Elephas maximus indicus: one gene and its partners. The protein of the gene in region 4 interacts with the protein of the main gene of each other region in a pairwise test. Links are inferred from orthologs where the notes say so. Each region holds a gene or a part of one and is shown on either strand. Other genes may lie near its edges. The genes, in order: TCHP, FAM110A, ENKD1 and MKRN3.

The links.
Region 1: the proteins of MKRN3 (region 4) and TCHP interact in binary tests that used the Homo sapiens proteins (3 or more experiments, as listed by UniProt). The two-hybrid records come from large-scale screens. The link is inferred for Elephas maximus indicus from reciprocal best matches to the Homo sapiens genes MKRN3 and TCHP.
Region 2: the proteins of MKRN3 (region 4) and FAM110A interact in binary tests that used the Homo sapiens proteins (3 or more experiments, as listed by UniProt). The two-hybrid records come from large-scale screens. The link is inferred for Elephas maximus indicus from reciprocal best matches to the Homo sapiens genes MKRN3 and FAM110A.
Region 3: the proteins of MKRN3 (region 4) and ENKD1 interact in binary tests that used the Homo sapiens proteins (3 or more experiments, as listed by UniProt). The two-hybrid records come from large-scale screens. The link is inferred for Elephas maximus indicus from reciprocal best matches to the Homo sapiens genes MKRN3 and ENKD1.

Annotation. Positions count from the first base shown.
Region 1 is NC_064840.1:20,428,880-20,436,737, reverse strand, and holds the start of TCHP (trichoplein keratin filament-binding protein), read right to left. Parts: upstream 3,001-7,858; 5' UTR 2,874-3,000; intron 2,028-2,873; coding exon 1,840-2,027; intron 1-1,839. UniProt on the Homo sapiens protein: Tumor suppressor which has the ability to inhibit cell growth and be pro-apoptotic during cell stress. Inhibits cell growth in bladder and prostate cancer cells by a down-regulation of HSPB1 by inhibiting its phosphorylation.
Region 2 is NC_064843.1:38,839,097-38,846,615, reverse strand, and holds the start of FAM110A (protein FAM110A), read right to left. Parts: upstream 3,008-7,519; 5' UTR 2,767-3,007; intron 1,077-2,766; 5' UTR 1,033-1,076; intron 1-1,032.
Region 3 is NC_064839.1:34,136,061-34,143,857, forward strand, and holds the start of ENKD1 (enkurin domain-containing protein 1), read right to left. Parts: upstream 3,001-7,797; 5' UTR 2,987-3,000; exon of another isoform or gene 1,589-2,986; coding exon of another isoform or gene 1,179-1,588; exon of another isoform or gene 1,075-1,178; coding exon of another isoform or gene 862-1,074; exon of another isoform or gene 518-861; coding exon of another isoform or gene 301-517; exon of another isoform or gene 85-300; coding exon of another isoform or gene 1-84. Other genes in the region: GFOD2 (glucose-fructose oxidoreductase domain-containing protein 2), read right to left, coding at 4,853-5,751. UniProt on the Homo sapiens protein: Microtubule-binding protein which regulates microtubule organization and stability. Promotes the stability of astral microtubules and facilitates the proper orientation of the mitotic spindle.
Region 4 is NC_064831.1:99,037,827-99,045,076, forward strand, and holds MKRN3 (probable E3 ubiquitin-protein ligase makorin-3), read left to right. Parts: upstream 1-4,241; 5' UTR 4,242-4,356; coding exon 4,357-5,772; 3' UTR 5,773-6,758; downstream 6,759-7,250. UniProt on the Homo sapiens protein: E3 ubiquitin ligase catalyzing the covalent attachment of ubiquitin moieties onto substrate proteins.

The DNA of each region.
Region 1 (7,858 bases), on a different chromosome or scaffold from region 4:
TTGGTTTATGTATGTATGTTTTTATACAGAAGTATAGAGATGTGGGATTACAAGATGACTTCTAAATTCTACTTCAAACACTTCTGTATTGTTTTGTCTTTTTTTTTTCTAAATTTTATTTATTTTGTTGTTGTTGAGATTATACACAACAAAACATATACCAATTCAACAGTTTCCACATGTACAATTTGGTGAATTGGTTACATTCTTGGAGTCGTGCAACCGTTCTCAGCCTTTTCTGAGTTGTTCCTCCCCCATTAACAAACTCACTGCCCCTAAGCTTCCCATCTAATCTTTCAAGTTGCCTGTTGTCAATTTGATCCCATATAGATAGTTCTTAAAAAAGCATAATGTCAAGGCTGGTCTTTTTTACTAGTTAAGCTAAACTATCGTTTGGTTTTAAGATGACTTCAGGGGATATTTTTGGTTAGGGTTTAAAGATTATCTCAGGGCAACAGTTTCAGGAGTTTGTCTACCTTCCATGGCTCCAGAAAGTCTACAGTCCATGAGAATTTGAAATTCTGATCAGCATTCTTCTATGGAATCTTTGTTCAAAATATTTAGTAATGGCAGCCAGGTACCATCTAGTTCTTCTGGTCTCACAGCAAATGAGGCAGTTGTTCATGGAAGCTATTAGCCCACATTCCATATCTTCCTCCTGTTCCTGACTCTCCTTCTGCTGTTGTTACAGGTGACTAGAGACCAATTGTTGTGCCTTGGATGGCCACTTGTAAGCTTTTAAGACCCCAGGCACTACACAACGAACTAGGAGGTAGAACAGAAGCACTAAACACGTTCTTAGGCCAATTAACTGGAGTGTCCCATGAAACTATGACCATAAACCTCCTAACCAAGGAACCAAATCCCGTAAGGTGTCTGGCTGCACATAAGCAGCTTTTTGTTGTTGTTGTTGTTAACATATCTATTATACCACTTTTGCCAATTCAACTTTTTACAGGTGTACAACTCATTGACAGCAATTACAATAATCGGCTGTGCAACTGTGCCCTTAATCAATGTGATTTTTCCCTCACCATTAACCTCCCCCCTTTCCACTCTTCCTCACACCCCTGGTAAAAACTAATAAATTTTGATCTCTATATGTGTGCCTTTCCTTGTCTTTTTATATATAAGTGAGGTCATACAATATGTGTCCTTTTGTGAGCTTATTTCGCTCAGCATAATGTCTTCAAGCTCCGTCCATATTATAGCATGTATCAGGACTTCATTTCTCCAACTGGCTGAGTAGTATTTTATTGTATGTATGTACCACATTTTGTTTATCCATTCATCTGTCAATGGGCATTTAGGTTATTTCTGCCTTTTGGCTATTGTGAATAGTGCTGCAATGAAAATTGGTGTACATGTCTCTTTTTGAGTCTCTGCTTTCAAGTCTTTTGGGTATATACCTAGGAATTGTTGGGTCATATGGTAGTTCCATTTTTAGTTTTTTGAGGAACTGCCACACTGTTTTCCACAATGGCTATACCATTTTGCATTCCAATAGCAATGGATAAGGGCTCCAATTTTCCCACATCCTCATCAACATACATTATTTTCTGATTTTTTTTTTTTAATCTAAGCCATCCTAGTGGGAATTAAATGGTATCTCATTGTGGTTTTGATGTGCATATCTCTGAAGGCTAATGAAGCTAAGCATCTTTTATCTTTCTTAGTTGGAAAAACCATCACCACCATGCAGGCAATCCCTGCTGTTAGCAAATCCCTCTAGAAGGCATGATGTCAAGCCAAGCCACATTCCCAGGGCCCTTAACACCACATCCCGTGACCAGCAAGCAGGCCCCACCTCCATCTAACTGGCAGTCACTGTGCAATTACCTCCGCTGGTAGGAGGTCTTGGAGCTCCACTCTGCCTGTTTGGAGCTGCAGATGTCAGACAGTTGAAAGTAGCGACGGTTCTGATCCCACTGCTGCCGAAGCCAGTCCGCCTGCTCTCGCTGCCGTGCCAACTGCTGACTTAGGAGCCGCCGGCTGCACCAGGAGGAGGGCAGTGTGGGCAGTGCCATCTGAGGAGAACAGCGATGGCAGGAAAGTGAGCCAACTGCAAACCCCAGGAACCCTCCCGAGCTCGGCCTCATCCCTCTAATCAATGGCTCTCGCCCCTGGCTGCACATTGGAATCGCCTGGTGGAGCTTTCAAAAAAATAGTAGACCAATTAAATCAGAAAATCTTAAGAGTGACGCCCAGGCAACGGCATTTTAAAATTGATTTGCTATCAGCACTGCAAATCGCTGACTTAAATAAATGTGGGCTGCACTGGCTGTGGGCCAGGCATTATCGGGGGCACTGAAGACAGAGACAGAGAACCACTCCTTGGGGAGGTTTATACCCTGCATAAAGTAACAGTGACAATCATTTAAGGAACATCTTAGGAGCAGTCTCATCCCTATGACCACCTCTGTTATTTGGTAGATAAGAAAACTTAAGTTTAAAGAGGTGACATGACTTGTCCGGGAACACTCAGCCAGGAAATGGAGGAAATAAAAGAGATGCGGTTCTAATTCACGTTGGTCTGAGTCCAGATTCCAGGCTCTGTCAACTGTGACAGGCTGTGTGTTGGAACCAAAATGCCCTGGCAGTCCCCAGACCAGGTGCTGCAGCTGAAAGTGCTCTGGGCCATCATGGAGGGCAAATCCCTAATCTCACAGATGGAGACACTGAGCCTCAACATCCACATCTGACAAGCGGGATGACAGCGGCAAGTGTCGGAGCAGAGTGAGGACGGGAATCCGGGCGCCCTGTCCTCGTGTCCCCAGACCAACCCGCGCTCCCGCCACTGCGGGCCGACAGCGGCCGGGACCCTGTCCTGGGCCCCACGCTGGCTCCCGGACGAAGCTAGCCTCCCGACTCACATTTCTCTGGGTCCTGGAGTTTCCCAAGCGACCCACCCAGGCCAAGGTCCCACAAGCCGGACAATCTCCCCGCAGGCCGCGCGGCACTGACGCCAGCCGTTTCAAAGTTCGTTGTCCCGGCAACGGGCCTGGCGACGGAGCGTCGCGAGGGCCAAGCCGCCTCCAGCGCGATACTGAGCGCGCGGAAGAAAGAAAGGCGTCTGTTTTCTCTGGCGCCTCCTAGTGTTGGGCGGGCGATCAAGAGCAATTGTCGCTTTTCAGAAAGCCCAAAACCAAACCCATCGCCGTGGGGTGGATTCCGACTCATAGCCACCCTATATGGCAGAGTAGAGCTGCCCATAGGGTTTCCAAGGCTATCATCTTTATGGAAGCAGGCGGCCACACCCTTCTCTCGCAGAGCGGCTGGTGGCAGCCTTTCGGTTAGCAGCCAAGTGCTTAACCACTGCACCACCTGGGCTCCTAAAGATCACTAGTCCTTAAAATAAGGAACGATGGAGGAAAAGAATCCGTTCAGTACACGGTAACCTAGGGGGATGAAGGTAAGGGTGGTAGGAAATCACGGGGATAGGATAGAGGAAAAGAATATAAGCCGCCTGACTGTACATGAGAATGACCTGGAGAGCTCTAAGAAATCCCGATCCCCAGACTAAACCCCAGACAAATCACTCGGGGGGGTGGATCCCGGGCATCAGTTTTTCCAAGCTGCCTAGGTGCGTTTGGTGTGCAACCAAGGCAGAGACTACCGATGTAAATAGATGTAGGGTACTGGTAACCTTCTATTGTTAAAAACCAATGAGTAGATCCCCAACTTTGAGTCCCTTCTCCCCATTATCCAAAAAAAAAGGGAACGATGAAAGAAAGCAAGAAGCAAAGCAACTCACATTTCTTGAACACCTGCCATGTGCCAGATGTTTTTAACATTTATTACCTTGCTGAAGCCTCCCTTGTTGCCTTCACTTTGCAGATGAGGAAACTGAGGCTCAGAGAAGTGAAGCAACTCTCTTGAGGTCACACAGCAAGGACAGGAGGCAGGATTGACACCCAGCCCCCTGAAGTTGTGAGTCTCCCATCTGTTTCTCTAGGAGCTTGTAGCCACCATCACTCAGCTGCTAAGGGAAAGATCAGCGGTTGGAACCCACCAGCCGCTTGCTCCGAAGCAGAAAGATGTGGCAGTCTGCTTCTATAAAGTTTACAGCCTTAGGAACCCTATGGGGAGTTCTACTTTGTCTTACACGGTTGCTATGAGCTGGAATCAACTCGAGGGCAGCGGGTTTTTTGGTTTGGTAGCCACCATTACACATTTCAGGCCATCTGGGCCACATAAAGAGTTCGGCGATATTAACAGGCTGAGGACTGTGGCTCACAGAGGGCTGGGAGGGGAGGCCCTGGCGGGGAATGGTCAGGGTGGATGCTGCTCACACCATGCAGCTACACAGGGCTACTCTCCTCGAACCTGCCTTTGGGTATCCTAGCACGAGAGGAGACACAGGAATGGGGAGATGGGAGCACATGGGACCAGCTGTCCGTTAGCTGACATGTGACAGTGTTGGAGGCTGCACAACGCCCCTCACTTAATTAGCAGATGGCGTTGCCAGGCATTTTTATCCACACCATGTTTTCACAGCGTTTCAACATCAACCACACTGGCTCCCTTCAACTTGGGCTGGGCTCCCCCCCCTTCCTGAAGACAAAGATACAGGATTAGACAGGGTGTGTTCAAAGACCCTGGGAGGACAGGGTTGCCTTCCAGAGCCCCAATTTTGTGTTTTAATAATATTAACAACAGGAAGAATAACAAATGTAGGTATACATGAGAACAAACTATAAAAGGCCACTCAGCAAAAACAGCGAAGATGGCTGGGAGCTGGGTTAGGGGTAGTTCCAACTCATGGCGACCCCATGTGTGTCAGAGTAGAACTTAGCTCCATAGGGTTTTCAATGGCTGACTTTTGGGAAATAGATCTACAGGTGTCTTAGTTATCTAATGCTGCTATAACAGAAATACCACAAGTGGGTGGCTTTAACAAATGGAAATTCGTTTTCTCACAGTTTAGGAGGCTAGATGTCCAAATTCAGGGCTCCAGCTCTAGCGGAAGGTTTTTCTCTCTTTTCATTCTGGGGGAAGGTCCTTATTCCTTGGCTCCTTGGTGATCTTCATGTGGCATGGTGTCTATCCTCTTCCCACATCTGCTTGCTTGTTTAATCTCTCTTATACATCAAAAGTAACTGACTCAGGATACACCCTACACTAATCCTGTCTCAGTCACATCACAAAGACAACCCATTCCCAAATAGGGTTATAGCCACAGGCGTAGAGCTTAGAATTTACAACACATATTTTTGGGGGACACAGTTGAATCCATAACACCAGCCCCTTCTTCCGACTCTCCAGCCTTTTGGTTAGCAGCCAAGCATGTTAACCATTTGCTTCACCCAGGGACTCCCTGTCTCAGTAAGTGCTGGGTTTATTTCCTTTTCTACTGAAAGAAGGAGCTGGAAAGTATTTACTGATTTGCTCACAGTAGCAGACACTACTGGTTGATTATGTAAAAGCCATTCCCTCAACTTTCTTGTTCAAGCTGATGCCTGATTGGGGTGGGGCATTACCCTTCTCTACAGGATTCAGGGAGTAAGTACCAATTAAAAAACACCATTGCTGTCAAGTCGATTCTGACTCATAGCGACCCTACAGGACAGAGTAGAACTGCCCCCATAGAGTTTCCAAGGAGTGCCTGGTAGATTCGAACTGCCAACCTGTGGGTTAGCAGCCATAGCACTTAACCACTACACCATCAGGGTTTCCTAAGCACCAGTTAGTCTAAGCCAACTCTGGTGGACCCACGCCCCCTGTTGGTGACCGGCCAGTGATGAGCTTGTGGCCCAGTTCTGCTCAAAGAGACCCGAGGGATGTCTGCAGGGGAGGGGGCTGGGAAAGGTCTTCTTCCTCCCTCTTTTCTTTTGCTCTTCTGCTGGTTGTTGTCCTCGCTGATTCTACTGGACACAGTCCATCCAGGGAGGCAGACAGCCTCCACTTCCTAAGTTCCTAAGTTCAAGGCAATTGGTGGACAATGTCGGAGCAGCTCCCTCCTCTGTTTAGCATCCTTCCATGGCTCCCCACTTCCGTTGGTGCAAGGTGCACACTATGCTCTGCACGGTCTGGCCCCTGTCAACCTTGCTAGCTGCACTGGCCTTTGTTTCAACTCTTACCTCCAAAGTTTCCACCATGCTGTTCCTTCCTCCTAGAAGGCTCTTCCCCTCTGCTCTTACTCAACCTTCAGGTCTCAGTGTAAATATCCCTTTCTCTGGGAAGCCCTCCCCAGTTCTCTCTGACTAGGTCAGGTTGCCCAACCTTGGAATACACTGTATTTTTTCTCCATAGCATCCACTGGTACCTTAAATATTTTTTAAAATAACATCTGCCCTTCACCAATATACCATGAACTCCATCTCCTGCTGCATGTTCCAGCCTCTGATTGGTACAGAGTAGGTGCTAAAAATATTTAGTAAATGTCCATTGACAGTGGAGCCCTGGTGGCGCAGTGGTTAAACAACTTGGCTGCTAACTGAAAGCTTGGCAATTCTACCCACCAGCTGCTCCACAGGAGAAAGATGTGGCAGTCTGCTTCCAAAAAGATTTACAGCCTTGGAAACCCTGTGGGGCAGTTCTACTCTGTCCATAGGGTCGCTATGAGTCAGAATCAACTTAACAGCAGTGGGTTTGGTTTGGGTTTTGTCCCTCGACAGATGAACGGATAAACAAAATGTGGTATATGCACACAATAGAATATTAGTCACCCATAAAGAGAAATGAAGTCCTGATGCATACCACAACATGGATGAACCTTGAAAACATCATGCTGAGTGAAATAAGACAGTCACAGAAGGACAAACACTGTATAATCTCACTTACATGAGATAAGCTAATATATAGAGACCAAAGATTCTTAGTGGTTACCAGGGGTAAGAGGAAGGGGGAAAGGGGAAGCTTTTGCTTAGGGGGTATCGAGTTTATGCTAATGGTGGTGGAATGATGTGGAAAAGGATAGAAAGAAAAAAGAGAGAGAGAGAAAATGCGTAGTGAATGAAGGAAAGTATGGCCAGTGGGACCCCACCCTAAGTGCCCCAGCCTGCAGCCAGGGGTGTGGGGGATGAGCTACAGGACCCTGCCTTTGCCAGAGAGGTTTGTCACAGAACCTGGACAATGTGCCAGGGCTGGTTCCTTAAAATTAAGCTCAATCCCTGTTGAGCAAGCTCCTGGGATGTTCCCAGACTCCTCTGTTGAATCCTGGGAGCCTTTCTTCCCTGAGAAAAGCCTCACCTCTCAGTCTGTCTCCTTAGGCATTCCCCAACTTCACCTTCCTCTTGAGAATAAAGAACTCGTGTTGCTGGTGCAAGGTCCTAGAGAAAGGCCGGCTGCTGGGGCCAGCAGGATGGGGAACACAGCCCCCAATGCCACCACTGGGATTAGAAGTCTAGAAAGTCTTCAGAAATAATCTTAAATAATATTGCCCGACCCATTCTCATTTAACAGGTGGGGAAACTGAGTCCAAAGAAGGAAAGAGGTTCTTGGAATAAGCTAATGGCAGAGTTAAGATGAGAGCTAGGTTACCTGACAGGTTGGTCTGGGTGCTTTCTTAGATCCCTTGCTTTCACCCAGAGCTACTGAGACCTATAATCGTCAGCTTCTTCAACATCGGCACCCTCATGGGACTTAGGTCTACTGCTCACCCATGTCCCAGGTAGATCCTTAAATATGCTATCTCATGGAATATCCTCCTTAACACTTTGAAGGAGATACTATCATGATACCCATTTTACAGATGAAGAAACTGAGGCTTGGTGTGATTATATCACTTGGCCCAGGTCACATAGCTAGAAGTAGTAGAGTCAGGGTTTGATCCCAAGTCTGTTTGTCAGACTCCAGAGGCTGGGCTCTTACCTGCTCCCTCCTGTGCTCATTTTTGGGTGCTCAGAATCAGTATGTG
Region 2 (7,519 bases), on a different chromosome or scaffold from region 4:
ACATGCAAACCCTTAGGGAAGGGCCTGGCACAGAGGATGGGGGTGGTAGAAGTGAAGCAGACCCACAGCCCACTTCTGTCCTGATTGCCCTCTGACCCTTTGGGGGCTCACTATCATGGCTTCTTACCTTGGCCCAGAGCTGTGAAGAAACTGGCCCAAGGTCACCCAGCAAGTCAGTGACAGACCACAGATATGGCAGTGGTTCTCACAATTAGATATATAATATATAGTGATCACATATGTATCATTTTTCAACCAGGTGATATATTCACATGGCTCAAAATTCAAAACCTATAAAAAGGAATGGAGTAAAAAAAAATTCTCTCCTGCCCTTGTCCTGGGGAGCCACCCAGTTCCCCTCCCTGTAGGCACCACTGTGACCAGGTAGTTGTGTGTCTTTCCAGGGAAATTTTAGGCAGATACAAGCAAGTATGGACATACATGTTTTCTCTTTTTTTACACAAATGGCAACAGGCTTTGTGTACTGTTTTCAACCTTGCCCTTCTTCCTCAACAATATATGTTGTTCTGGGTACGCCATCAATACCCAGAGAGCAGCCTCTCCTTTTTCACAGCTGCACTGTGCCTACCAGTTCCACTTGCCATTGAGTTGACTCTCGTTTGTGGCGATTCCCGCTCATGGCAACGCCTACTCATGGTGACCCCATGTGTTTCAGTGTAGAACTGTGCTCCACAGGATTTTCAATGGCTGATTTGTTGGAAGTAGATTACCAGGCCTTTCCTGTGAGGTGCCTCTGGATAGATTCAAAAGGCCAACCTTCCAGTTGGTAGCCAAGCATGTTAAGCATTTGCACCACCCAGTGTGTGTCCAGTCCCTCCTATTACAAACCATGCTGCAGTGTCACTGTACCTATGTCATTTTGCCAAGAAGAAATACCTGAAGTGAGACAGCTGAGTCAGCGGACAGCACTTGTAATTGTGACAGAGATGGTGGAACTACACTCCATGGAAGCCATGCAAGTTGACCTCCCACCAGAATAACATGCAGTAAAACAATTAAATATGACCTTACCTTATGACCCAGCAATTCCACTCCTAGGTGTATAACCAAGACACCTGAAAGCAAGAATTCCAGCAGATACTTGTACACCAATGTTCACTGTAGTGTTATTCACAGTAGCCAAAAGATGGAAACAACTCAGTGTCCATCAACAGAGGAACAGATAAACAAATGTGGTATACACATACAATGAAATATTACTCAGCCATAAAGAAAAATAAAGTTCTGATACATGCTATGACATGGAAGAACCTTGAAAATAAGCCAGACACAAAACAGCAAATATTGTGTGATCCCCCTTATATGAAATACCTAGAATAGGCAAATGGACAGAGTCAGAAAGTAGATTAGAGATTACCAGGGGCTGGGAGGAGGCAGGACATGGGGAGTTATTGCTTAATGGGTACAGGGTTTCTGTTTGGGATGATGAAAAAGCTTTGGAAATAAATAGTGGTGATGCTTACACAACACTTAAATAAACAAACAAAACGCCAAGGAACTTGAAAGAAAGCTACTAGGGTCGATTCCAACTCATAGCAACCCTACAAGGTACCCCTTAAGCAATAATTCTCAAAGGGCCCAAATGCCAGGGACAGAGCTCTGGCCTGCCCTGGAGACCACGCTCCTCTTCTTCCTGGCCACATCTCCACCCTCTTCAAGCTTGCTCCCACCTCAGGACTTTTGCCCTTGATGCTCCCTCTGCATGGGATGTTCTCACCTGCCCACCACTTGTTCTCCTCCTAAAGCTTCCCTGACCTTCAGATCTCAGTTCAAACATCCCTTTTTCCCAGGAACCCTCCCTGACCATGCCTAGACTAGCTCAGGGCCCCCAGTGAAACTCCCTCATGGCTCTCTCCTCCTTCTTATTATATTCCTTGTCACACTGAAATTTTACATTTGGATATGTGGTTATTTACATCATTTCTGTGATTATAAAGACAGAATACTAATTCTTCCTTTTGGATCCAATATTGCCTGGCACAGCACTGTTACTAACCCTGTAACAGTGATATTTTGCTTAGCATGCACTGCATTTTTACTTTTAAAAATGGTTCACTGAAATACTATTTATCTTAATTACTGAGCTTTTGGGCACCCCTAAATTTTGCACTAGAGGTTGAGTGCCTCACTTGCCTCATTCTAGCCCCTGCCCTGTGTCACATTCCAGAGGAGAAGACAATAAACTCACTAATAAGTGAAATAGATAGGACAACAGATGGGGCAAATGCTACTGAGACAAAACAGGCAAGGGGGAGGGCAGGGCTGTGAAGCCAATAAATTTTTGTTGTAAGAAAGAATGCAGGCAGAAGATCCCCAAATGAACACTTAGTCCAACCCATGGCGTTCTGGGGAAGGGAAGACAGACGCCCAGAAGGGGCACCCTACAGACCCAAAGACGCCGGGGACGGGGAGGAGGGGCCTAGTTGTAGGGAGGAGGTGATCCAGCCAGGGGGTCTACGAGCCGTGCCCCAAAGAAGCTAAGAAGTGACCACCAGTTGCCGTCTGGGCCTTTCTAGGCACATCTAGGCTGCGAGATGAGGTGGAAAGACCTGAATGGGATTCTCTGCCAGACCTCTCCGGGCTGGGCCACTTGACTCTCTTAAGCCTCAGCGTCCTCACCTGTGACATGGGGTAACACCTCCTTCTTGCAGGTACGATTCAGTGAGGACGCCAACAGCAGGCGCTCAGTGAACCGTAACCCCCTGCTGGACCCCGGCTCGCACCCCAGACCACCCGCGCCCTCACCTGGGGCCTGTGCTACGCGAGTCGTCGCTCCTCTAGCGTGGGTCTTGGAGAGGCTGACAGCTCTGACCCGGGCTGGGAGTGACCGTTCCCAACGCGGCCCGGAAGACCCCAGCCCCGAGGGCCTCTTTGAGCTGCCGTCTCACTAGATGGCCCGGGGGCCTTGATTTTCCGAAGGCCCCGGCCGGAGCGTAGGTCCAGAGATCCGCGGAAGGGGAAGTGAGCGCGCCGCACACACACACACCCCCCTCGGCCGGAATGGTTCGCCCCGGAAATCCTGATTGGTCCCCCGCTTCCGTTCGAACGCCGCGCCGCCCGCGTTGCCAAGCGACGACTTAGCGTCAACCTCGTGAACTGAGCGCCCGGACTCGGCGGCCCCGCCCCTTCCCTGTCGGCCCCACGTTCTTCCGGCGGCTGCAGTCGCCCGGGCGCGTGGTTCTTTCCGTTCCTCCTCCTCCCCCCCGCTCCCCAGACCGGAAGTCCTGAGGGTCCCCACCTGAAAGAGGCAGTGGTTGGGGCTTCTGGAGTGTGTCTAGTCTCCTTTGCAGCTAACTTGCCATGTGACCCTGGGCAAGTCTCTTCCCCTGTTCCTCTAGCTGCACAGCGATGAGTGGCTTCGTTTTAAAATGACGTGCACTGCAGTCCTGAAATTTGTCCTAAGAAAATGATCAAAATGCGAGCAAAGATTAATATAGCTCAGCGTTATTCCCCATAGCAAAACAGTGGAAACAAATTAAATGACCAGCAGAAAGGGATTGATTATGTAAGTCCATTCTGGTGACCCACTGGTTAAACGTTTGGCCGTTAACCAAAAGGTCGGCAGTTCGAAACCACCGGCCTCTCTCCTTGGAAACGCTATGGGGCAGTTCTCCTTTGTTCTATAGTGTCTCTATGAGTCCGAATCAACTTGAGGGCAACGGGTTTTTTTGGATTTTTATTGAGTTTTTACATGCCAGGCGGCTTGGCATGGTATAACTTTGTCAGTGCTCAGGATAATCCTCTGAGATCAAATAAAACCAAAAAAACCAAACCCAGTGCCATCGAGTCGATTCTGACTCATAGCGACCCTATAGGGCAGAGTAGAACTGCCCCATAGAGTTTCTAAGGAGCGCCTGGCAGATTTGAACTGCTGACCCTTTGATTAGCAGCCGTAGCACTTAACCACTATGACACCAGGGTTTCCCTGAGATCAAATTAAAAAAAATTTTTTTTATCCCCATTTTTTGATGAAGAATGTTAAGCATTCATTAAAAATGGTATAGTTAAAAGACGTTTCAAGATACAGGGGAAATGCTAAGAATGCATTAAACTTAAAATATGTTTCAAAGCAGTATGTACAGCATGCCCCAAACCAAAAAACCCAGCGCTGTCCGGTCAATTCCGACTCATAGCGACCCGGTAGTACAGAGTAGAACTGCCCCATAGATGGGCATTAAGTTTATAATCGTGATGTCACATGTATATATGTATAAAAAAAAAATTAACAGCCGTTAATTTCTTCTTTGTGCTTTTGTGGAATTTCCAAATTCCCAATACTTAAAACTGTCAGGAAAACTTCTTTTGTTTTCTTTTTTTATGAGGTTAGAATAAATGAAGGGCTCTTCAAGGTTAATTTTATAACTGTGAGTCACTGTTTGAGTCTAAGGCATTGCTCAATTTGGAGCCTGCCTCTGTTTTCTATCCTGGCTGGTGTCTTTCCTTCTTTCATTGCATTGTCAATGTTTGAGCGCTTATGTATACATACCTTGTGGGGGCAGGGAGTAGAAAGGAGCATTTATGTATGTCAGCAGCTAACAATGATTTTGAACTCTGGCTTGGGCACTGATCAAATCAGAACAGAAACTGTCATAAATGAGGAGTCTGGCTGTAACTGTGAGCACCAGGTAAATATCAAACCTAGCCCTCACTGTATCCCCTGCTAGATTGTGCTAGAGGCTTTACAAAGATTATCTCCCATGACTTCATTGCAATCTGAGCCATGACTTCATTGCAATCTGAGGAAAGAGATCCTACTATTATTCCCATTTTATAGGTGAGAAAATTAAGATTTGTCTGAATCCAGAGCCAGTTATATTCCTTCATAAATACGCAAGAACTCTTTGGTAGTGGCAGTGGCAGCAGTGGTGAGGGAAGGCCAGGCTGGCCCTGTGCTCCTATAAGACACAGGAAAAAGCTGAGCAGAAGCAGATCCAGGCTTTGTGCAGCCTGAAGCTTTATACAATTTAGGGGGAATTCTTTAAAGCAAAGAATATATAATTAGGTCATAAAGTGAATACTTGGTTAGAAAGATAAAAGAAACTACCACAAGTGACAAAATTTTAAAACTTGACAAATCCCGCAAATGTTACAAAACCCGGAAAAATAACATTCTTTATTACCTCTTTGACATACCCATGTAATACTTTCCACAAACTACCTTCTGGCTCCATGTATACGTACATTTCAAACTTCTCCTCTAGCACCCAAATACTTCTGGTGTGGGTGATGTAAGGTCATTTATATTGAAATATGACCTCTAACCCTGCACTATCACGTCACAACACCAATTGAGTCAGGATAGTTCAAGGGGTAATCGTATTCCTGGAAGCCATTATTAAACCAGGTCAAAAAAAAACAAACCCGTTGCCTTCAAATTGATTACAAGTCATAGCGACCCTATAGGATGGAGTAGAACTACCCCACAGGGTTTCCAAGGGATGGCTAGTGGATTGAAACTGCCAGCCTTTTGGTTGGCAGCTGTAGCTCTTAACCATTGCACCACCAGGGCTCCTACACCAGGTCAGTTAGTAATAAGTTTTTAAAAACCCCAAAAAACAAACCTGTTGCCATCAAGTCCATTCCAACTCACGTGACTCTATAGGACAGAGTAGAACTGCCCCCTAGGGTTTCCAAGGAGCAGCTGGTAGATTTGAACTGCTGACCTTTTGATTAGCAGCCAAGCTCTTAACCACTATGCCACCAGAGATCCTAAATATTCACAACAATGAGAGAACCCCTGATGGAGCAGGAGAACAGTGGGATGCAGACCTCAAATTCTCATAAAAGGACCAGACTCAATAGTCTGACTGAGACTAGAAGGACCGTGGAGGTCATGGTCCCCAGACCTTCTGTTAGCCAAAGACTAGAATCTTTCCCAGAGCCAACTCTTCAGACAGGGATTGGACTGGACTATGAGACAGAAAATGACACTGGTGAGGAGTGAGTTCCTTGGCTCAAGTAGACCCATGAGACTATGTGGGCAACTCCTGTCTGGAGTGGAGATGAGAAGGCAGAGGGGAACAGAAGCTGGCTAAATGGACACAGGGAATACACGGTGGAGAGGTAGAATGTGCTGTCTCGTTAGGGGGAGAGCAACCAGGAGTATATAGTAAGGTGTGTATATGTTTTTGTACGAGAGACTGACTTGATCTGTAAACTTTCACTTAGAGCAAAATAAAAACAAATAAATAATTAAAAAAAAAATGACTGGAAACAACCTAAATATATCCCACTAAACCCAAACTAAATGTGTCCCCAACTCAATGTCCCCTTAGCCAAAGCCCCAAAATGCTTAACTCCACCCCAACGTCATCTGACACAAAGAGAATTTGGAGTGTAAAGAGATGGTGGCTTTAACAGAGCGCAGTTAAAATACCTTACTTTGGCAAGTGTTACAAAAGCATATGACCCTGTGAGCACATTGCCAGGGTCCCTCCCAGACCTTGACCTCCCTGTTATTAAAAGAGGAATGATAATGGTGTTGTGGTCTGATTCTTCTCTGAAACATCGTTCAACTTTAATCAGGGGTTGGGATATACTTGAGATGCTTGGAGAAAGGCCCTGCTGACCCTTGCATCTTCAAAGCTTTCCTCTGTCCTGCATGCCTTCCAGCTGACAACAAACCAAGCAAAACAAAACACCACCACCTGAGGCTCATTCCCCAGATTAAGAAAGTAAAGCAAACCAGGGGGGAAGGGATTTCCCCTGGACCCCAAATTATGCCATATGAAGAAAGATAATTTGGGCGTATTGGATTCTAGAACTCTGGGCATCTTCACATGCCAACAGCGTATTGATGATGCCTCCTTCAAGGATGTGCTAAGAGCCTGGTGCCTAGCCAGAGTGGTTGACAGCATCCCAGTCCTTGCCCTCCTCCAAGCTGGGGTGGAGGACTAAGAGTAAGGACAAACTGTCATTAACTGCGCCTGGATCAGAGGGAGCCAGCAATCCTCACGGTCTTATCCTGACCCAGCATGTTTGAGCAACAATAGCATCTGCCCTGTTGACAGGCCGGTGGCTCCTTCAGTGTGTGGGATTTGCCCCCTCCAGAACTCTGACCTTGGCAGTTTTTTCTCCACTCAGCTCGAAACTGAGATGAAATCAGACTCAGATGTCAGCTCTCTGTCGCCTGTGCATCCTGTGGCTGTATTCTATTTTGTTTCATTTAATTTAAAGGGTGTTCTCTCTGTATGTGTTTGCTTACGTCTGAACTTCTCTGGAAGGACCCACCAGAAACCTCTGTTTTCAGGGAGCCCACATCCTAGTGGGGGAGACAGACACAAAACATGCATTAAGCATGAGATGGCCACAGGCACAGGTTGGGTCAGCACAGGGGCTTGTGGGATCCCAGAGGAGAGATGGTTCGGCTGAGGCTCAGTGAAGGCTGCCCGAACAGAAGCTGCAAGCTGAGTAGCTCTCTCAGTGGCTCTCAACCTTGGCTGCACATGAGTGTCCTGTTGCCTGGGCCCCTCTCCCAGAGATACAGATAGAGGGTCTG
Region 3 (7,797 bases), on a different chromosome or scaffold from region 4:
AGACGTTACGGGCCCCAGGATGGGACCACCACGGGTCTGGCACTGCTGGCAGAGGCGCCCGGTGACCTAGTTCAGAGCTCCGAGGTGACCATCGGGCCGCCTGACCTGACTGGCCTGCGGCGCTCAAGAGGGCCGAACTCTGGGCAACCCTGATCCTCTAACTGCCAGGACAGGCTCCAAGGGCGGGAAGGGGCACAGGCTGGTCCCCCTTATGGGGTGTCTTTGTCTAATGTTGGGCTCTAACGTCTGATCCCTGTATCATTTGGTCATGGTGACCGATACCCTATGTGTCACCTCTAGTGTCCAGTGACAGGAGACCAATGTCTAGTGCCAGCCCTTGAAACCTGCCAGACCCAGGGTGAAGATAAGTGCCGAACAGAACCAGCCTCAGAACCAGTGCTCCAGGAGGAGAGGCTCAAGCCAGCCGTGGATGCTATAGAGGAGACAGGCCCCAGACCCCTAGCTTCCATTGTGAGGCCCAGTCATGGTCTGAAGAGAAAGCCAGTCAAGTAAGGGGGCTTTCAGAGGGAAGGGGCTGCAGGGATGGGAAGTGGGGCTCACACCCCAGCATTCCTAAAGCCTGCACTCCTGTAGGGCAGACCCTTATCCCCTGCCACCACCATCACTTCCCACCTCTTTTGTCCCTCAAGAGTCCTGTTAGAGAGCACCCAGAGAGAGGGAGCCTGAAGGTCTTGGAGGGGACTGAGCTCATATGCTCTGGGCCCCTGCTGGCCTGGGGGCCCTCACTGACCAGGAAAGTGGTAGGTATCTGGCCTGGGTGGTGGGCAGGCAGGGCTATCCCCTAGGCACGGGGCACAGGCTGGCTCCTCAGGCTTCCCGTCCATGGCTGTGGTCCCCCAGCCTCCCCAGGGGCTAGTCACCATGCCCATCCTAGGGCCGAAGCTGAGCTGCCATTGGGTCTGCTGCTGCAGAAGGGGGAGCCAGAAGGTAGCGAGCACTCACCATCCTCCAAACAGCACAAAAAACCTAAGAAGCGCAAGAGTCTGGGGGCCCCCGCACTCCCAGCTACAGTTAGCACCGTGTCTGCCTCCTCAGAGACCTTGGGGCTAGAGCGTGAGTGGCAGCCCTGGGCCTCCCCTTTCTCCCCTGCCTGCTGGTCCCCCTAAAACATGGCACAGCCTGGTGCTCCAGCCCTGCCCTATCCTGGGTCTTTTCAGGAAAGGCCCAGCGCCTTCGACCCCTGTACCAGTACATCAACTATTGCAACCCTGAGCTGAACCAGGCAGGGGAAGGGGGTAGGGAGGCAGAGGCCGAGGTGGAGCCCCAGTCGGAGCTGGCCCTGGTCCCCATGGAGGCGGGTGTGGAGCAACTGCAGGCCTTGCCGCCCGTGGCAGGTGAGCTGGGCTTAGACCTTGCTTTTCCCTGCCCCAAAATGTTAGTGCCTCCCACCCACATTCTGGATCCCCTGGCAGAGGAGGCTGGAGAGGAACCTGGGGGTCTGCCCAGCTTGGGGGTCAGCAGCCGGCTCACGGCCGAGGTGGATAAATCAAACCAGGTGGACATCAACAAGATGCTGAGTGTTTGTGCTGCTCCGCTTGTGCCCCCGCTCTCTCCTCAGTACAAGTGACTGTCCTGCCCCACTGGTGGCTCCCCTCCCCCCAAGCCTGAACCAGAGCAGCAGCCTCTGGGCCTAGGCCCTCAGGTGGAAGGTAGAATTGGCCCATGCCCCCACTTGCTGGAAACTTGGGCTTGCTGACAATAAACATTTTTTCATTTTCTGAGACTGCGAGATTACCCAGTGCCTGGTTTAAAGCCCAACGGATCATCTGAATACTTGGGAACTTGACAAAAATAGATTCCTGGGCACCACCCCAGATCTCACTGAATCAGAATCTGAGGGGTGGGGCCTGGATTCTATGCAGTTAAAAGCTCCTCAGGCTGACAGTGAGGGATCAAGGGGGAAGTGACTAAGGAGGGACTTGGAGCAGAGAAAGGGTCTGTGAGGCCACAGGAAATAGGGACTTGCCCTTGTTCCCTGTCTCCCAGGGAGGTGACCTGTATTTGGTCTGACTTGCATTTGTGGACCAGCACTTAGGAACCCCCCTCTGAGGTGGCACAGTTCATATGACTGTCTGAAGAGTGGCAGACTTTGGAACACTTTCCATTTGTTGCCAGGCCACAACTGGAACAGACCTTGCCCAAGGAGTGGCCTCTGGTGACAGCAGTGTCCATGCCTTTTTCCTGGCAGGAAGTGGTATAGGCAAGGAAGGATCTCAGCCTGACATTCTGGAGAGATTGCTTGGGCTTCAGTGTGAAGGACAGAATGAGGAGGAAGTTACTGGGGACAGGGAGGTGAGGAGGCTGTGATTGTCTAGGTGAGTACAAGGCCTAGATTTGGTTTGGAGTTGGATAGTAAGCAACAAGTATTTTGGAAGCGCTCACCTGGTTGCTGCTCCGAGAGAAAACTCTAAGAGGTTCAACGTATTTTCACTGGCCTGGTAAAACCTTGTTTACTTTGACCAGAGGAAGAGTTGGCTGACATCCTGATTTGGGAAATAGGTTCTGGGAGGTGGTGATGCCACCTTCCTCCAGTAGGGGCCACTGCAGGACAAGCCTGGAACCACAGTTGCAGGCTCAGTCACCCCTAGGGACCAGAACCCTGCTGGCTTCCTTGGCCACAGGCACGCATGTGCGCCATTTCAAAGCCCACCTCCTACTCCTCTGGTCATGGATCTAGGTTCTGGGGGTGTTTCCAGAGAACCAGGGGTGCTCATAAAAGTGGCCCCAGGGCATCTAGAAATCTGCCTTGGTAAACAAAGAGCTGGCGGCAGATTCCTCTAAAAACTTAAGTGCCATTCTGAGTCAACAACATGGCACTTTCTTGTGCAGAAGCATCTGAGTCAGGCCCAATGGATATCTGTTTTCTGGGTAAATCCCCAAATTTAGGAGGGACCTAGTAGGACACCAGGGGACAGACCTGGAGCTGTGACCATCATTCCCAGGAGCAGGGTGGGTAGACACTCACTCTTTAACTCTTCACTGTCAGCATCTTGCCTGGCAGTGGGGTCTCTGCAGTCCACCTCCTAGCTCAGGCCAGGCTGACTCCAGCTATAGGGAGAAGGCAACAATCTGGCTGAATACCCCAGTGGGAGTGGGGGCAGCAACATATGTGCAGTCAAGAGTCTGAGAATTCACCAGTGCTGGAGAAATGGGTAGTTCAGGGTTAGGCTCTGACTGGTCCTGACTGGGTCTTGGCTTCATCACTTATAGCTTATACAATGCAAGTAGTTTTGGCTTTCTGTGCCTCAATTTTCTGATCTGAACAATGGGAATATTAATAATACTACCTCATAGAGTTGTTTAGAGATTAAAATAAAGTACATGAAGTGTCTACCCTGGGAGGGCCCAGCATGCAGTGAACACAGTCCAACACTACTCATTGTTTTATCTCAAAAGGATAATAATTTGCAACCAGGACAATACAGGAAAACAAGCCTGGTGACTTCTATAAGGGGTGCCAAAAGGAAAAGGAAGCCCTCCTAAGCCTTTCTGGCAAGGAGCCAGGGCAGAGCAGAGAGGGAAGGTTAGAGAAGGGAACAGAGATTGGTCCAGGCTTAACAATCCTGGCAGGCTGTCAAAGCGAGACAAGAGAACAAAAGGGATTGAAGGACCTTCTCCCAATACTCACCCCACCTCTGACTTACATGGTAAAAATGACTATCCCTGTGTAGAACACAGTTCATAAAAGGCTGGCTGGTTAACTAGCTGGCTGGCCCAGGCAGCTTTCAGCTAAACCACTCCAAGGGCCAATGCATGGAGCCCTTCCTCTTCCAGCCCATTCCCTCCAGCTTCTCTGGAAGTACTCCTCACCTCCTCTCTTTTGAGATTCCCTTGGTGCCAACTCCAGGATTTGAAGAACAGAACTCCCTCCTGACCCCAAATTGTCTCCCTGTAACTGTGGGCCTCACAGGGCCTCCTCAGGGAGTCTTGAGTCCTGCTCTCTGAAGAAAGACGTTTGTTTGGAGGAATCTTAGGACTTGGCCATGAGGGCCACAGTGACAAGAGCAGGGCAGTGGCCAGGGCCGCCCCCTGGAAAGTGAAGGGCCCATGCCAGGCTCAGAGCTGCTGAGAAACTGAGAGGAGAGACAGAGATCTGAACAATGTACAGCAATAAATAAGCCTTTCATTATTAAAGACAAACAAAAACCCAAACTACCACACAAACAAAAACCAAAAACCACATGCCATGATGTCGTATTCTCTCTCTTTATTAACATTTATCAGATGTTCTAAACCTCTCCCTTGTTTCCTCTCTGCCAAATCAGGTCCCCTTTAATAGCCCGAGAGGTTACCTAATTAAGAAATCCCCTCTTCCCCATCACAGAGGGACAGCCTGGAGGCCTGAAGGGCCTGCTCCCCAGGAAGAGAAAGGGAGGATCCTTGAAGGATGACATGCTGCCCTCACCATTCCTGAGATGCCCCAGCCCAGGAAAGGCATGGAAACAAGGCTTCTTGTCCTTTCTCCCCAGCCTGAGGGATCAGCCAAGCTGGCTCCTTGTTGTGCTTTCTCACCCTCTCAGGACCACAAATCTGGCTGGAAAAGCCCCCAGGTCAAGCTTTTGCAGGCCCTGCTAAACAGTGTAGCGATTCAGAGACCTGGCAGCAGCACCACCTGCACACACTGTACTGGCCCAGGTCAACAGAATATTCCCTGCCCTGCCAGTCTGAGGAGTAAATGAGCGGATGGAGAGGGTGTTTGCCCAGGGTCACCTTAGGCTTTACCCAGACCCAGCACAAGTGGACTTGTTAAACAAAAGCCACCTCCTCTGCCATGCCCTCCTGCCACGGCTCCTGATCCCCGTGCCCCATGGCAGGGAGCCCACGTACATGCTCACAGGTTATTCCGCTGAAGCACCTCACACAGGTTCTGGTTGGCATCAGGTTCCTCTGTCAGCACCTCCACAGCCTCCCACTCCCCGGATCGGCTTGACCTTTTGATGGCATCCACCACACTCTGCATGTACAACCCGTCCTCGAATGAGGCGGCCATGGCAACAGGGGTGTGGTCCCAGGTGCGGCGGTCACCCTGCCCCTGGAAGGACTGGCGCAGGGCCTGCACCATGTACACCATGCCCTTCAGATAGAGCAGCGGGACATCTTGTGGCCCCTGCTCAGGCAGTCCTGCACCCACGGCCAGTGAGTCCCTCAGGAGCAGCTCCTCTTGTGTGGCAGAGTTCTTCTGCCCGTACAGGTCAGCCCCACGAGCAACAAGGCGGCCTGCAGAGCCCACCACCATGACCTCGTGGACGAAGGCGCCTGGCATGTTGAAGTTGAGCGTCACTGTGCTGCACACCCCCCCACCCATGAGCATCTGGAAGAAGCAGAAGTCATCGCTGGTGACATGCCGGATGCCACGGATGGCCGCATTCTGCCTCACAAAAGTCTTGAGCAGCCCGTGTACCTTCTCAGCTCTCCGGCCTGTCAGGTGGGTCAGCAGGTCCACAATATAGGTGCCCATGGTGTGTAGGCCCCCGCCACCCATGAGCTCGTCACAGATCCAGCCATAGCTGGGGCTGAGCAGGCTGCCCGAGTAGATGCGGGCGTCGCAGATCATCACTGCACCCACATAGTGCTCCGCAATCAGCTGCTTCATGCGCACGAAGGCAGGCAGGAAGCGCAGCACGTTCCCCACCAGGCTCATCAGCTGTGGGTAGTAGCGCGAGGCTGTCACCATCCGGAAGGCATCCACCGAGGTTGCTGCCTTCTCACACACCACATTCTTCCCAATACCTGAGAATAAAACACAACAGGAAATCTCACAGTTCCAAGGGGGTTACACTCCAAAAAAAAAAACCTAGTTTCTTCAAGGCAGATGGTTCCAGGGAAGCCTCCTATGGAACCAGGAGGTGGCCTTGGAAAGGAAGCAAGGTAGCTCAGCTTGAACAGAAAACAGTGCCTGTGATTGGGACTGAAGAAATACTTATGGGTCGAAGCAAGACAAGTTCTTAGGGAAAAGTGAAACTTGCAGAGGCAGAAGACATAAACCGGGAGTGGGAGGTAAAGAAAGGTCAGATGGAGAGGTGGACATGCTTCTTGGACATGGTTCCATATCTTTATGCGCTGGTTAGATATCTTGGGGCAAGAGAATCTAATCTTTATTCTATTGTGATGGGCTCTGCACTGTCAGCCATGGTTTAAAACTCCAACACTCATGGGAGTATGAGCAGCCACAAGACACCAACACCTAGGGCACCCCTGGAAGCTTAGGGTGGTTCAAGTTAAAAGAAATCCTACCTTCAAAAGTTTAAAAAGTTAAAAGAAATACCTTCAAATAGAAAACTTATAAAGCCCAAGAAACGGTATAGATTAGACACATACATAGGTTTATGAGTGACGGCAAGCTGGGGAAAGGTGAAAGCACCCAGTTATTCCATTACTCATTCTATAGACACTGCCCATGGTGAATGACTCAAATTCCACTATCATGACTCCCTCAAGAATCTTGGGCTTTTTTTTTTTTAATTTCAGATGAGGGTTTACAGAGCAAATCAGTTTCTCGTTAAACAATTAATACACATATTGTTTTGTAACACTGGTTGCCTCCCCCATGACATGTCAACACTCTTCCTTTCTAAACCTTGGGTTCCCTGTTATCAGCTTTTATGTCCCCTCCTGCCTTCTCATTCTTGCTCCTGGACTGGTGTGCCCATTTCATCTTGTTTTTTTTATGGGCCTGTCTGATCTTTGGGTGAAAGGTGAAGACGTCATGGGCTTCTTGAGGGAACAGGCTCAAGTTTGGTGGGAGCACAGAGCAACTTGCCCTGCAGGTGGCAGGATGAGGGAAGGCTTCATAAGGGAGTGACACTGAGGTTGTCTTAAAGGGAGCAGATGTTCCAGGGTTGTAACGGGGAAAGGGCATCCAGACAGAAAGAACTTGCATGCACAAACACACCGAGGTAGGAAAGGCCCAAGGTTAGGATTCCTAAAGTCCTGGGTGCATGTGCTAGGAAATGGGGATGGAGGGGTCACATGGCATCTATAAGAAATGCAGGAATTAGATAGATAGATGCTCAGTAGTATCACTCACAAAGATATTTAAGGTGAAGGAATAAGTTTGGGGGAGGAATCCAAAACTGAACTCTTGATACTTTCTCCCTAAGTCTTCCCCATCTCAATCAATGGCAACTCCGTTCCCCTGTTTCTCGAGCCAAAATCACCAATGTCCCCCTGCCCCATTTTTAATTATCAGTAACTCTTGTTGGCTCGGCTTTCAAACTACATCCAGAATCTGATGAGTTCACACTACCACCACTGCCACCTTCCTGGTCCACGTCACTACCATTTTTTGCCTGGATTATTATTATTTTTTTTTATTTTATTGAGCTTCAAGTGAACGTTTACAAATCAGGTCAGACTGTCACATATAAGTTTATATACACCTTACTCCGTACTCCCACTTGCTCTCCCCCTAATGAGTCAGCCCTTCCAGTTTCTCCTTTCATGACAATTTTGCCAGCTTCCAACTCACTCTATCCTCCCATCCCCCCTCCAGACAGGAGATGCCAACACAGTCTCAAGTGTTCACCTGATACAAGTAGCTCACTCTTCATCAGCATCTCTCTCCAACCCATTGTCCAGTCCCTTCCATGTCTGATGAGTTGTCTTCGGGGATGGTTCCTGTCCTGGGCCAACAGAAGGTCTGGGGACCATGGCCGCCGGGATTCCTCTAGTCTCAGTCAGACCATTAAGTATGGTCTTTTTATGAGAATTTGGGGTCTGCATCCCACTGATCTCCTGTTCCCTCAGGAGTTCTCTGTTGTGCTCCCTGTCAGGGCA
Region 4 (7,250 bases):
AACCAGTCGAGCGAAAATAAAAGCCAGAATCACTCGGGGGACAGAGGCTTAGGAGGCCAGCCTCAGGACTAGAAGTCTGAGGCTCCTGCACAGCAGGGAAGTGAAAATTGGAAATCATAATACAGGTGCTAAAAGTAGCCTAAGACTCAAAGTGCTCCCTGCTAGTGCCTCACTAATGAAAAGTGTTTCCAACTATAAACTAAAAAAACAAAATTCAAAACATTAAGGACCAGAAGAAATAATTTTGTCCACGGAACAAAACAACAAAAGGTTAAAACAGTGAGAATTATCAGACAAAAAAAACAAAACAAAAAAACAAACTAATGGACATAAGATGAGTGAACAGAAACAGAATTTATAAAAATCATGGATGAAATGTTGCAGAAACTATGAGATGAACTTTTAAGTATAACAAGGGTTTGTGGTTTTAAAAATAGGTATTAAAAAAAACCCTGAATGAATGAAAAATACTCAAAACCAAAAGCCAAACCCACTACACATAAACAATTTTCATGTCAATCTTAAACAGGATAAAACATGTAAACATATGTGCCCGATTCTGGTCAAATAAAACACAAAACCACAAAATCATCTGACTCAAAGCTACCCTTTAGAGAGACACCCTACAGGATAAAGGTAGAACTCCTCCACAGGGTTTCCAAGGCTGTAGTCTTTACAGAATTCTGTGTGGCCACTGAAACGATTTATCAAACACAGCAGAGAAGTACAGAGTACCATGAGAGGAACAGCTGGTGTCAGCACTGGCAAAAACGTTGGAGGGTGGAGGTAGGTTTGACTTCCACCTCAAAGGAATCACCCTCAGGCCGTTGATGCTGGTAATGATTCTCCAACCCCCTTGTGAAGTTAGAGAAGGAGGTCTGACCCTGACATCATGTCATTTCTACACTTTCCATCTCTTTTCCTCGTCTCCATCTACTTAATTAGGATTTAAATTATTGACCTAGATGATTATATCAGAAATAGTCAGACTTTCTCTCACTTTAAAATTTAAATTTAGGCTATAAAATTCCCTGTAAGAAACTTGTTTTGGCCAATAAAATTCAATGATATACAAGAGGAAGACACATCATCACAGCAAAGCTTTATTCTTAGTAAAAATGTTAAGCTAATATGTGAAAATCTTTGTGTCAATAATCACATTGAGACAATGAAGACTAAAAAAAGATCATCTATCAATATTCACAGAAAATTAGTATTCAGTATACATTCATAATAACTACTCTCAGCAAAGTAGTAATAGAAAACAAGTTCATTAATAAAACGTATCTACAAAATGACAAAGAGCTCACATATATGGAAATTAAAAAGCACCACTTGCCCCATGTATAGTAGAGTCAACATTCTGGAAACCTGTTCTAACACAATACAGTACAAAGCTGGGTGAATTAGAAGATTCAAAAGAAGGAGAAAAAATAAATGGAAACAAAGGGCTGCCATGAGTTAAACCAGTCGAGCGAAAATAAAAGCCAGCATCACTCACTGGGCAGCGGCTTAAGAAGCCAGCCTTACGACTAGCAGAAGTCTGGGGCTCCTGCACAGCAGGGAAGTGAAAATTAGAAATCACAATAAAGGTGCTGAAGTGGCCTAACATACAAAGTGCCTCCTGCTAGTGCCTCACTAATGAAAAGTGTTTCCAACTATAAATGAAAAAAAAAAATTCCAACCACTAGGAACCAGAAGAAATAATTTTGTCCATGAAACAACATAACAAAAGGTTAAAGCAGTGAGAATTTTCAGACAAAAAACAAAACAAAACAAGCAAACAAAAAACTAATGGACATAAGATGAGTGAACAGAAACAGAATTTATAAAAATCATGGATGAAATGTTGCAGAAACTATGAGATGAACTTTTAAGTATAACAAGGGTTTGTGGTTTTAAAAACAGATATTAAAAAAAACCCTGAATGAATGAAAAATACTCAAAACCAAAAGCCAAACCCACTACACATAAACAATTTTCATGTCAATCTTAAACAGGATAAAACATGTAAACATATGTGCCCGATTCTGGTCAAATAAAACACAAAACCACAAAATCATCTGACTCAAAGCTACCCTTTAGAGAGACACCCTACAGGATAAAGTAGAACTTCTCCACAGGGTTTCCAAGGCTGTAGTCTTTACAGAATTCTGTGTGGCCACTGAAACGATTTATCAAACACAGCAGAGAAGTACAGAGTACCATGAGAGGAACAGCTGGTGTCAGCACTGGCAAAAACGTTGGAGGGTGGAGGTAGGTTTGACTTCCACCTCAAAGCAACCAGCCTCAGGCCGTTGATGCTGGTAATGATTCTCCAACCCCCTTGTGAAGTTAGAGAAGGAGGTCTGACCCTGACATCATGCCATTTCTACACTTTCCATCTCTTTGCCTCGTCTCCATCTACTTAATTAGGATTTAAATTATTGACCTAGATGATTATATCAGAAATAGTCAGACTTTCTCTCACTTTAAAATTTAAATTTAGGCTATAAAATTCCCTGTAAGAAACTTGTTTTGGCCAATAAAATTCAATGATATACAAGAGAAAGACACATCATCACAGCAAAGCTTTATTCTTAGTAAAAATGTCAAGCTAATATGTGAAAATCTATGTGTCAATAATCACATTAAGACAATGAAGACTAAAAAAATGATCATCTATCAATATTCACAGAAAATTAGTATTCAGTATACATTCATAATAACTACTCTCAGCAAAGTAGTAATAGAAAACAAGTTCATTAATAAAACGTATCTACAAAATGACAAAGAGCTCACACATATGGAAATTAAAAAGCACCACTTGCCCGATGTATAGTAGAGTCAAAGTTCTGAAGGCTGTTCTGCCACAATACAGCACAAAGCTGGGTGAATTAGGAGATTCAAAAGAAAGAGAAAAAGGAATGGAAATAAAGGGCTATGATGAATTAAACCAGCCGAGCAAAAATAAAAGCCAGGATCACTCAGGGGACAGAGGCTTAAAAGGCCAGCCTTAGGACTGGAAGAAGTCTGGGGCACAGCCGGGAAGTGAAAATTAGAAATCACAATACAGGTGCTAAAAGTTGCCTAAGATTCAAAGTGCTCCCTACTAGTGCCTCACTAATGAAAACTGTTTGCATCTATAAACGGAAAAAAAAAATTCCAGCCATTAGGAACTAAAAGAAATAATTTTGTCCACGGAACAAAACAAAAGGTTAAAGCAGTGAGAATTATCAGACAACAAAACAAAACAAACTAATGGGCATGAGTGAACAGAAACAGAATTTATAAAAATCATGGATGAAATGTTGCAGAAACTATGAGAAGAACTTTTAAATATAAATAAGGGTTTGTGATTTTAAAAAGATATTTAAAAAAACCTGAATGAGTGAAAAATACTCAAAGCCAAAAATCAAATCCATTACCCATAAATAATTTCTATGTCAAGCTAAACAGGATAAAACATGTAAACATATGCACCTGATTCTGGTCAAATAAAATCAAAACCACAAAATCATCTGACTCAAAGTTACGCTTTAGAGAGACACCCCATAGGACAGAGCAGAACTTCCCCATAGGGTTTCCAAGGCTGTAGTCTTTACAGACTTCTGTGTGGCCACTGAAACCATTTATCAAACACAGCAGAGAAGTAGAGAGTCCCATGAGAGGAACAGCTGGTGTCAGCACTAGGCAAAAAGTTGGAGGGTGGAGGTAGGTTTGACTTCCACGTCAAAGCAACCTGCCTCAGGCTGTTGATGCTGGTAATGATTCTCCAACCCCCTTGTGAAGCTAGAACTGCCCCATGGGGTTTCCAAGGCTGTCGCAAATGGCCACATCTTTCTCCCGCGGAGCTGCTTGGGGTCTGCTGGTGGGTTCCCATTAAGGAAATCTTTTGGTTACCAGCCCAGAGCTCAACTACTGCGCCACCAGCTGTCGTGAATGAAAAATAGAAGCGATATAAAACCTCAAAGTGTTTTGATTATATCCACCAAAGGAGACAATGCGATAAGCGGAACTTGGGACGGGGGGACGCATCTGAGACTGACAAAGCGCCGAACAGGGCCAAGGCCGTGAAAATAGCCGAGGCGCCGCAAAACTATCACGGTGGAAAAAAACCGGAAGTCTGCCGAAAACGCCTGCAGTAGAGACTAGGTAAAGCAGAAGCGGCGCCACCACAGGAAGTGTCCGCCTCGCTGGCGAACGGAAGTACGTAGGAACTCATAGTCATAGGGAGCTGGGAGCAAGGGGGACGACGGAAAGTGACGGACCGCCTAGAGAAGAGAACCGGCGGCCCAAGAGGCCGCCCGGCCTCTCGCCCGAAGGGAAGGCTCGCCGGGGTGGGGCATCCTGGTAACTTTCAGCCCCCTGGAGGCCATGAGAGAGTCTGCAGCTCCCTCAGAAGCCCCCAGGACCCCCGGTGCCGAGGCAGGTGCCGGGGCGGAAGGGGGAGATGCCCGCGGTTCCGGCCTACCGGCGTCCGCGGCCTCCGGGGAGCCTGCAGAGGCACTAAGGTCGGTCCCTAGACGTGCGAGAGGCTTACGGCCTGTCCAGAGTGCAGGGGGAGGGGCCGGGCCCTTACGGGTGCCGGACCGCGGCGTCGGAACCTGGACAAAGCTAGTGACCTGCAGGTATCATTTACATGGGTCGTGCAAGCAAGGGGAGAAGTGCCGCTACTCCCACGACCTCTCAGGTCGGCAGCCGGCTAGCCAGGGTCCCGATTCGGGGCTCCGGGACCCTGCAGACGGCGGTCCTAGCGCGGCTGCGGAAGTGGAGGCCTCGACTCCGGAAGTGGCGGGAGCTTCCCCTGGTACTTCCGGTCACAACTTGCCGCTGATTGGCTCAGCTTTTGAAACGGAGAGCGGGAATGCCGGCGGCCAAGCAGCCGGAGCAGTTGCGGCAACCTGGGCGGATGCTGTTGAGTTTGTTCCGGGGCAGCCTTACCGGGGCCGCTGGGCGCTGCCTGCCCCGCAGGCTTCGGCACGGATCTCGGTGGCGCCAGAGGAACCGCTCTGCCAGTACGCTGCCGTGGGAGAATGCCCTGATGGGGAGAACTGTATGTATCTCCACGGAGAGGTGTGCGACATGTGTGGGCTGCAGGCTCTGCACCCCGTGAATGAAGCCCAGAGAGCAGAGCACGTAAGGGCCTGTATAGAAGCGCACGAGAGGAATATGGAGTTCTCTTTTGCCGTGCAGAGCAGTATGGACAAGGTGTGTGGCATCTGCATGGAGATTGTCTATGAGAAACCCAGCGCCGGCCTTCGCCGCTTTGGCATCCTCTCCAACTGCAACCACTCCTACTGCCTGAGGTGTATCCGTGTGTGGAGGAAAGCCACACAGTTTCAAAACAGGGTCGTCAAGTCGTGCCCACAGTGCAGGGTCACCTCCCACCTTGTTATTCCCAGTGAGTTCTGGGTGGAGGATGAGGCAAAGAAGAAGCAGCTGATTAAGGACTACAAGAAAGCAATGAGCAAAAAGCCTTGCAGGTATTTTATGGAAAGCAGAGATCGGTGCCCTTTTGGGAACCACTGTTTTTACAGGCATGTTAACCCTGAGCGTCAAAGAGAAGAATCCCAAAAGCAGGATGCTGGAACTTCCAGCACTTACTGGAATCAGCTTGTGGAGGGCAGCGTGTCCTTTAAGATCAATGAAAAGGAGCTTATCAGGCTTCGCCTGGCCAAGGTGTTGTTTAAGTATCTCCTTTCCACGGGGAATTATAAAGTCCCCTTTTCTGATTACCAGTGGGAGTTGCTTCTTTTTGAGCTTGAAAAGTATTTCAATTTGATTCCGTAGCATCGTGCTGTGGCATGTGGTCTAGTCTGTAGAGGCCCTCTTCTCTGCTATTTTGCCTGTGTTCCTTTTACAGACCCATCTGTCACTTTCAGGGGCTGTTGTGACAGTTTTTGTACAGTGTCCCTTTCTGTTTTCTTACCCATTCCTCTTATCTTTCCCGCTAGGATTATGGTGTTTTGCCGTGTTAAAAAGTAACAAAAGTCTTTAAAATTACTGTTCAGTGAAATGATTATTGCTGTCAGTTTATCTTGTAATCTCTTTTTTCAACAAGATACACTCAGTTCTAGGTTAGTGTTTACAGAATTTCTACACTCATTTTGAAGTCTCTCAAGAATAACTGTGACAGGGTAAAAGGAGGAGTCTTAACTGACCAAATGGATCATTGTGTGATCTTGTGGCGCAGCTGCATATTTTTCTTTGTTTACATGCCTGTCCCTTCTGTCATCCCTTGTCAAGTGCACTGATGATATTGCAGTTATTTTGTGGTTTCGTGTTTTACTTGAATCAAGTGCATATGTTTACATGTTTTTATCCTGTTAACTTGAAGTGAAAATTATTTATATTAGAAAGTATATCTTTAAGAAATATATATATGTCTGCATGTATGTCTGTATGAAAGTAGTGTATTTGAAATATATATTCAAGAACATACATGTGAACATAATTGTGTTTACATAATAAAATAAATGCAGAGCTGTAAGCTGAAGAACAAAGAGCAACAGGATTGGCTATTGTGTGAGTGCAAAGTGTGTGAATAGTCCTTCTGTACCGTACAGGTGTCAGTTATTAGCATCTAATGAAACAATTCAAGTGAAGTTGGCCAAATGTGACAGACACAGATCTTAAAGGACATACGAAGCATGACTTTGGCAATTAGAAATGCATGTCCCTGTGGCGTTTAGTGTCATCTCATTGTCCTCTGTAATAGCACAGTCATGACCTCAGACATGCAGTTCTTTGTGTTCAATATTTTATCCCTAGCCTTTCCAAACAAGGGACTTTTGACAAAAGTTTTAAAAATATAAGTACAAGATTATAAAGAGGAAAGTAGAAAAATAAAAAGTACTGAAATCGTTCAGAATACAGGAATGGAATGATAAAAGAATGAAGTTTAGGACAAAAAGCTAAATACAATACTAATACAGAAAATTTATAACATATCTTAATTAGGCTAACTGAAAACAGTATAAAACTAAAAGTCAGATTATCATACTTGATGAAAATTGGGATGAAACTATGTTGTTTACACAAATACAAGCATACAGAAACACTGGAAGTAATAGGATGGGAGAATGTTAACCAAATGCAAAGACAAAGTTAATGTTATTCATGGACAGAAATGAAGAATGCTATATAAACATTAAAATTACAGTTTTCCAGGAATATATAGCTTCTAATTTTGTATTCATTTAATAACATAGCCTAAGACATATAAATAATTAAAAAAATAGAAAAATCCAAAACCTCAATGGACAATT